Kluyveromyces lactis: one gene and its partners. The protein of the gene in region 3 binds, or shares a complex with, the protein of the main gene of each other region. Links are inferred from orthologs where the notes say so. Each region holds a gene or a part of one and is shown on either strand. Other genes may lie near its edges.

The links.
Region 1: SNP1 (region 3) and MUD1 share a complex: the UniProt entries of both Saccharomyces cerevisiae proteins name them as parts of the spliceosome. The link is inferred for Kluyveromyces lactis from reciprocal best matches to the Saccharomyces cerevisiae genes SNP1 and MUD1.
Region 2: SNP1 (region 3) and RDS3 share a complex: the UniProt entries of both Saccharomyces cerevisiae proteins name them as parts of the spliceosome. The link is inferred for Kluyveromyces lactis from reciprocal best matches to the Saccharomyces cerevisiae genes SNP1 and RDS3.

What each region holds. Positions count from the first base shown.
Region 1 is NC_006038.1:785,482-788,454, forward strand, and holds MUD1 (Mud1p), read right to left. Parts: upstream 1,559-2,973; coding exon 641-1,558; downstream 1-640. Other genes in the region: CBP6 (Cbp6p), read left to right, coding at 1-397; TEF2 (translation elongation factor EF-1 alpha), read right to left, coding at 2,016-2,973. UniProt on the Saccharomyces cerevisiae protein: Involved in nuclear mRNA splicing. The principal role of the U1A is to help fold or maintain U1 RNA in an active configuration. It is the first snRNP to interact with pre-mRNA.
Region 2 is NC_006039.1:1,359,044-1,361,362, reverse strand, and holds RDS3 (U2 snRNP complex subunit RDS3), read left to right. Parts: upstream 1-1,347; coding exon 1,348-1,683; downstream 1,684-2,319. Other genes in the region: twinfilin TWF1, read left to right, coding at 1-35; ubiquitin-protein ligase ASR1, read right to left, coding at 160-1,074; Arf family guanine nucleotide exchange factor SYT1, read right to left, coding at 1,896-2,319. UniProt on the Saccharomyces cerevisiae protein: Required for pre-mRNA splicing. Involved in regulation of drug sensitivity and may play a role in multidrug resistance.
Region 3 is NC_006039.1:703,574-706,319, reverse strand, and holds SNP1 (U1 snRNP complex subunit SNP1), read left to right. Parts: upstream 1-1,215; coding exon 1,216-2,121; downstream 2,122-2,746. Other genes in the region: CCR4-NOT core ubiquitin-protein ligase subunit MOT2, read left to right, coding at 1-804; ARG56 (bifunctional acetylglutamate kinase/N-acetyl-gamma-glutamyl-phosphate reductase), read left to right, coding at 2,729-2,746. UniProt on the Saccharomyces cerevisiae protein: Involved in nuclear mRNA splicing.

The DNA of each region.
Region 1 (2,973 bases), on a different chromosome or scaffold from region 3:
GCATCTCATTTCATTCAAAGAGTCACAACTAGATAGGTTCCGTCCAGTTGCCGGAATAGAAACCGGTAGTGCCTCTGAGCAAAGTAAGCCTTCTCTTGCAGAGATTAAGGATATTATCAACAGAACTTCTGGCCCATTAGGTTTGAAGAAAGATCTATTAAAGAAAGTTCAAGAGGCTTTACCAGAAGAACATTTCAACGATACTCAAATCCAAGAACAGATAAGATCGTTGAATGCTATAATGAGCGATAAATATAAGAATTATTATGCTGTAGGGGACAAATTATACAAGCCAGCAGGTAACCCAATTTATTACAAAAGATTGCATGACGAAATCGAAGGTAAGGGTAAGGAAACTTTCTTTACAGCTATGAGAACTGTCGTATTTGGTAAGTAATTTCGGTTTCAGGGTTTTAGAGCTTCGTATGCATATATGTATATATCATTTCTGTCTTTTTCGTTTCTAGTGTATCTGTACTGTACAGGCCTCCATACACTGACTGTAAATAATTTATATTCAATCTATTCTATTTATTCTGTTTATCTGTTGCTGATAAATGTACTATTAAAGCGTAGATTGTTGGTTCCAGTTCCGACCTGTGAACGCTTTGAATTTATTGATTCGCATTGAAATGTAGAATCATTTCTTGGCGTATCCAATCTTTATCGTTACATTCTTGAATGGATGATCATGACCTAAGGTTTCAACAACTTTAGTGGCATTTGCTGTAGAATCATATTCAACAAAGCAAAGATTTCTGACACTGACCAATCTAACCTCTTTAAATCCATCTGAGACAAATAACTTTTCCAATTCTTGCTGAGTAACATCTTTTGGAAGATTTTGAACCAATAGGACATGGTGAGGGGGATTTCCGACAATGTCAAAGACTTTTTTAGTGGAGGAAACTTTCTCCGACTGCTGTGACATAGCAGTCTTGTTGGTACCTTCAGGATTTGTTTTTCTGGGCTTTGAAAGAAGCTTCTGTATGGTTTCTTCGTCCAAATCCTTCTTTCTAAGCTTACTTCTAGCTCTTCTTAACCTTCTTTTCAACACTTCGTTTTTTGTCTTGGTCTTGGGCTGTGAATTATCCACAGCTTTACGTGTACGTAACCGAAGTTCATCCTGTAGCTGTTTCTGTTGTCCCTGGTAGTACAAAGCTGCGAAAGAATCCGTATTCGCCAGCTTTATATTTATCTTTCTCCCATTAATCTTGAGCTTGCCTTGAAATTCTATAAGGAACGTATTACAACTGTCTGAGTCCTTAAAAGTGACGAAACAAGACCTCCTCAAGGGTCTTGAGCCATACCTTGATACCTCTATGATCTGATACTTTTCATCGAGTACTGGTGTAACCGCATCAGCCTCACTAGTTTCTTTCTTCGAGTTCAGATCGAATCTTGTACTAACATCATTTGAAATAGAACGATGATCTGAATTAACACTTGATAGTAGTAAGGCTCTGAATTTGGACAATGAGTCGGGCCTCGACGGTAGATTCGACAGATATAAGGTACTGACCATTGCTTGCCGATAGATACTAGCTTTGTATGGCATGTGTAATAACCTAATAGAGAAGGATATCACAACCTATTAACAAATAGTCCATACGTATTAGTATTAGTAAATTTGTTGACAATGAAAGTTGTTGTTACGTTAAGTTAAGATTATATGAATAACTAAATACTAAATAGAAATGTAAATACAGTGAGAACAAAACAAAAAAAAACGAACAGAGAAACTAAATCCACATTAATTGAGAGTTCTATCTATTAGAAAATGCAAACTCCAACTAAATGGGAAAACAGATAACCTCTTTTATTTTTTTTTAATGTTTGATATTCGAGTCTTTTTCTTTTGTTAGGTTTATATTCATCATTTCAATGAATAAAAGAAGCTTCTTATTTTGGTTGCAAAGAATGAAAAAAAAGGATTTTTTCATACTTCTAAAGCTTCAATTATAACCAAAAATTTTATAAATGAAGAGAAAAAATCTAGTAGTATCAAGTTAAACTTATTTCTTACCAGCCTTGACAGCGGCCTTGGTGACCTTACCGGCCTTGTCAGTCTTGTCAACGGACTTGATAACACCGACAGCGACGGTTTGTCTCATGTCTCTGACAGCGAATCTACCTAGAGGTGGGTAGTCAGAGAAGGCTTCAACACACATTGGCTTAGATGGAACGAACTTAACCAAAGCAGCATCACCGGACTTCAAGAACTTTGGAGAGTCTTCCAACTTCTTACCGGATCTTCTGTCGTTCTTTTCCAACAATTCGTCGAACTTACAAGCAATGTGAGCAGTGTGACAATCCAAAACTGGAGAGTAACCAGCAGAGATTTGACCTGGATGGTTCAAGACGATAACAGTGGCGTTGAAAGAAGCAGCAGCCTTTGGTGGATCGTTCTTGGAGTCACCACAGACGTTACCTCTTCTGATTTCCTTAACGGAAACGTTCTTGACGTTGAAACCGACGTTGTCACCTGGTAGACCTTCTTCCAATTGTTCGTGGTGCATTTCGACGGACTTAACTTCAGTAGTAACACCGGCTGGGGCGAAGGTAACAATCATACCTGGCTTGATAACACCGGTTTCGACTCTACCGACTGGCACAGTTCCGATACCACCAATCTTGTAGACATCTTGCAATGGCAATCTCAATGGCTTGTCAGTTGGTCTGGATGGTGGTTCGATAGCGTCAATAGCTTCCAACAAGGTCTTACCCTTGACGACACCGGACTTGGTTTCCTTTTCCCAACCCTTGTACCATGAAGCATTGGTGGTGGCTTCAATCATGTTGTCACCGTTCCAACCAGAGATTGGGACGAATGGAACAGTCTTTGGGTTGTAACCGACCTTCTTGATGAAGTTAGAGGTTTCCTTGACAATTTCTTGGAAACGAGATTCATCCCACTTAACGGAATCCATCTTGTTAACAGCAACAATCAATTGTCTAACACCCAAGGTGAAA
Region 2 (2,319 bases), about 660 kb from region 3:
TCAATAAACCTAAGGCACCTTCTAGAAGAAGATAAGCTTTATATTTCGTGATATAGAATACCATTGCTGATGGGACTAGCATTCTGTTTCGAATGGTAACTTTCAATATGCACAGGCAGAATTATTATTTACCAAAAAGATATCAAAATATATTAACAATTACATAACTTCCCTGATGGAGAGCCTAGCCTGCTCCTCGTAATTTATCCTGCTGGGATCGAACCCAGTTGAAGATAACCCATATAACTTCCGTGACACCATTTTGTTTATGGCGATGTATCGATCCTTCGATAAAGATCCGCGGTGGTAGAATTTATCCAACTCTGTTCGTACGTATCCTTGTATCCTGCATTTGTCCTCGTAACTGATGGTGTAAGGTTGTGCGAATCTATTGTAAATGCATTCAGTAAGAATACTTCGCTTATCTCTCATCCTTCCATCGTAAATTCTCACGTTCGAATCTCGTATTACCATTGAAGATACTTTGTTCCCACGTAGTCTACAAAGAGTACCATCACACTCTATGCAACACCATTCTTTCTCACCGACTTCGCACAATAACTCATTCAGGCATGAAGAGTGGAATAACGTCTCACATGATTCACAGTATAACGTTATGTCATCATCAATTTCACCGCATAAGGCACATTGCAAGAGCTCTACTCCCTGCATGCCATTATTATTCTGTGGCTGATGTCCGATCTCTTCCGATTGTAGTGTATCCTGGTCACCATTGCCATTAGGATCTTCTTCCTCTTCCTCTTCTTCTTCTTCTTCTTCCTCTTCCTCTTCTATCGCTGCTACTGCTTCTTGCTCATCATCATTCAGTAATCGAAGCTTGGCAAACTGCTCGATCAACGACACATTACACCAGTACTTCAAATCAATCTCGATATCATCATGTTTACGGCGAAGGCTTTTGGACTCTTTTCTGCATGTAGGACACTTAAAATCGTTCGAATATAAGTGCCACTTCCTAATACAAGAAACATGATATCTATGCTCACAGGGTAAAAGCTCCCCTTGATCAGTTTCATTCATAGATTCCAAACAAATACCACATATTTCAATCATCTTGTGATATATAATGTAGTTGCTCGGAGGGTCATATAATATGAACGGTTTCCAAACCTACTTTTCTTCGTTTTTTTGGCCTATCCTGTAGATCAGTTCCTGTTTAAATCAACGGCTGCCACTTAAGCCCATCTTCTATAAAATTGTACCTTAGATATCAAAACTAAAAGAACCCACATATTAAAACAAAGAACAGAAAACTAAGTGTTTTTCCCCATACACCGTCAGGTCTTATTAATCTATTTATATTACTATTATTATCACTGGATTAAGATGTCTCGCCATCAGTACGACTTGGTTATGTGCATGAAACTTCCTGGAACCTCTGTAGGGAAGGTTTGTGATAGATGTGATGGAAGATGTCCCTTATGTGATTCAGATGTAAGGCTAATTTCTAAGGTACGGATATGCGACTCTTGCTCCTCTGGAAGTAGTGGAAGCAGGTGTATAATTTGCGGAAGTCCTGGAACGCATGAAGCGTTATATTGTTGGGACTGCCACAGATCTGAACGAAGCCGAGATGGCTGTCCCAGAATTTTGAATGTGGGTAGCAATAAGACGGACAGGTTATATAACAAAAAGACGGCGGATACCGGCAAAGGAGTATAGGATATCGATTTCTATCTTAAGGAACTATAATTTGTTATTTTACTGTTCATACGCTGATACAGTGTTGTATATTTACATGCATGAATTCTTAATTTCCATCGTTTCCAATTTATGGCATTCTGAGAATGATACTTTTAAAGTTTTAGTCGGTAAAAACATTGAACCATCGCTCAATCTATTTCCGAGATCGAAGCTTGGCCAAAACTTTTTGATTATTGGTTAAATAAGAAACTCTCTTCGATGGAATTGGCTTCGTATCGATTATATTCACTTGGATTTGGTTCCAGACCAAATACAAGCTTCAAGAGTTTAACGTATATATCAAGTCTTTCGTTTTGATATGAGACCATTTCTATTCTTTTTATTATACCATTGACATGATCGATTAAGTTTGATCTAGTCTTTGTTGATAAGGGTACCGTGTCAAGGTATATGTTAAGCTGTGAGTGTAGCGAATACCATTTCGACATATTCTGTTCATGGTTACTTTTCAGCTTTAGTATTTTATCTTCTACTGATGTCCTTCTTTGTACCACAAATGTATTACGCAGTCCGGCGATTTCTATTTCACATCCATCGATGCTGCCGGAGAAATAAATAGAGTTTTTCCAGGCTAATGCCTCTGTTCTATTCCTA
Region 3 (2,746 bases):
ACTGTGCCAGCAGCTGCAACTTCAAGCTCGAAGCAAACCGCTCCTGTGCTAACACCAGCTCCAGTTCCATCTGGTTCAAACCCATGGGGTATATCTCAAGCACCCACACCAGTTTCTACTATTTTCAACAAGACTTCTACTTCTACCACTTTCCCTACGTTGTCAAGCTCCTTGGGGGAAACTCTGAACAGTCCAGGTCCAGGCACTCCTACGACCACTGGATCTGCCCCAACAGCAAACTCTTCTTCTAACGTAAGTTCGAAGAAGAAGGGCGAAAAGACATACGAGGATCCTTACGATCCAATGGCAACATGTGTTAAGTTCCTAGATCAAACTTTTAAGTTTTTATCAGATATTCCTGAAAGAAGCTACACATTCAACTCCAACTTATTGGATGACGAAACATATCAAAGTTACCCATCACTTTTTTCATTTGAGAAGATTGGATGTAGTGAGCAATCTGAAGGTGTCTTGGGTGCCAAACTATGTGATTTGCTTACTATAAAACCTGTGGACCACATGTCCTCTCTTCTGCCATTCATTCAAAACAAGGCTACACCTACCATGTTACCACCGGGAATTGCTGTCCAGCAACCACAATTAGTACAACAGCAGAAGCAGCAGCTACAGCAACAGCAATTACAGCAACAGCAACAACAGCTTTCACTGCAAATGCAACTACAAGCCCAACAAGGCATGGCGCAGCAAGGCATGGCGCAGCAAGTTATGAGCCAGCCACAAAGCAATTCTTCCGATCTACTAAATCAATTAATTCACGGTAAGAAACAGACTGCTGCCGTATAATCAGTACTCAGTATGATTCCAATAATATTTCTTTTACGAAGTTAGCATATAAATAAATATATATATTCATGTACATTCATTTATTTTTCAATATAAACCGTTCCAGGTTGTTAGATAAACAACTGTTTCAATTTCATTTTTCCAAATCAGACCTTGTAATCTACTGTCTTTCTGGGTTCTTCTTTCTGTCAAAGGCATTCACATTAAAATACATATTTTGACACACTCTTTTTAAGGTTTTTCCATCAATTATGTGAAAATTGTAACATTTAACATCTAAATAGTAAAGATGCGCCAAAAATATGGAATATAATTACATACACTTTACCTCAGCGCATACACCTTAACCTCGATACTGCGGTAAGCGCATCAATAAAGATAATATTGGCACATATCCATTCCAATTAATAGATGAAACCACAAACGAGGAAATACAACAGGCATAATGGCTTTCACACTTTGACCAAACTTCCGTCTTCAGTATCAAAGTTATTTACACAAGGTCCACCATTACCACCATCGAGAGTGAGAGTAAGGCGAAACCAGAACAAGAAATATGCACTCACTGGTGTATCAGCCGTGTTGCAACATGTTTCAGAGTATAAGAAGGCAACCCATCCCGTATCAGAGAACCAACACTTGAAAGTATATGATGAAGCCATGAACGAATCGCACAAAGAACAGGAGGAGTTGATGAAGAAAATACAAGAGTGGCACCCTGAATCAGATGCAAACATTTCTAGTGACCCCTACCGCACATTATTTGTCGGACGGTTACACTATGCCGTAGACGAAGTTGAACTACAGAAGAGTTTCGTCAAATACGGCGACATTGAATCGTGCAGAATAGTAAGAGACCAAGACGGTAAGAGCCGAGGATACGGTTTTGTGCAGTTTACCAGTTATGAAGACTCCAAACAGTGTTTCAGAGAGCTTGGTGTAAGGAAGGGAATAGAAATCATGGGCCGAACATCCATCGTTGATATAGAAAGAGGCAGAACGGTGAAATTCTTCAAACCTCGACGTCTAGGTGGAGGATTAGGAGGACGAGGTTACCAAAGGAAAGATCTCGTAAATAAATTAACTGGTGCTTCAACAAGACCGATGCATGAACATGCTAGAAGACCCATCAGAAGACACGATACCTTCGAAAGAAGAGGTCCTCCACAAGGGCATTCCCATTCTTATCAACCAACTAGTCCAATATCCTCACCTGCATCAAATTTCCAAAAAACTGCAAGTTCTAGCTACCGATCAAGGAGGGACAGATCTCGCAATGATACTTCCAATGGTTCTACAGACACATTGATGTATTGAGATGAGATAAAAAGACACATCAAATAGCACGTGATCAGAACTGCTGCAGTGATCTATATACATTTTCATATATATTCATATAAGTAGCCATACAGATGAGCCATGGCTAAATGTTATATGTACTTCCTACCATTTCTACCTCTGTTCTCATATCTACGCAGTTCTCCTACATTGTGCCCACTGGCCAAGCATAACTGAACCACTACCTCTGTATGCATGAGTAATTTCTTGATCGATGACTGATTCCAAAATAACGATGGAAAAAATTATTCCAGTCAAACAAAAAAAAAAAAAAAAATGGCAACTCAGCGAATCGCACATATAAAGAAAACCGTTTTCAGTTTCCCATTCGCTAAGTATTTCCATTAGGTATCTAAAGTATGAGTTAACTCGTAAAGTACTGAACAGCATTATTGTCTAATCGAAGTTAAGACCAGCTCTATCCATCTGCAGGACAAATTAAAGGGTTTGCAGGAAAGTGTTGATACCTGCCTTTTCAGTGATAGTGAGCCAAGCCAACTGTTTTATCTTCTTTAAAGGATTTTGATTAGATAAAGAAGAAGAAGAAGAAGAAGAAGAAGAAGAAGAAGAAGAAGAAGAAGAAAACATGTCTGTCCCATCTGCG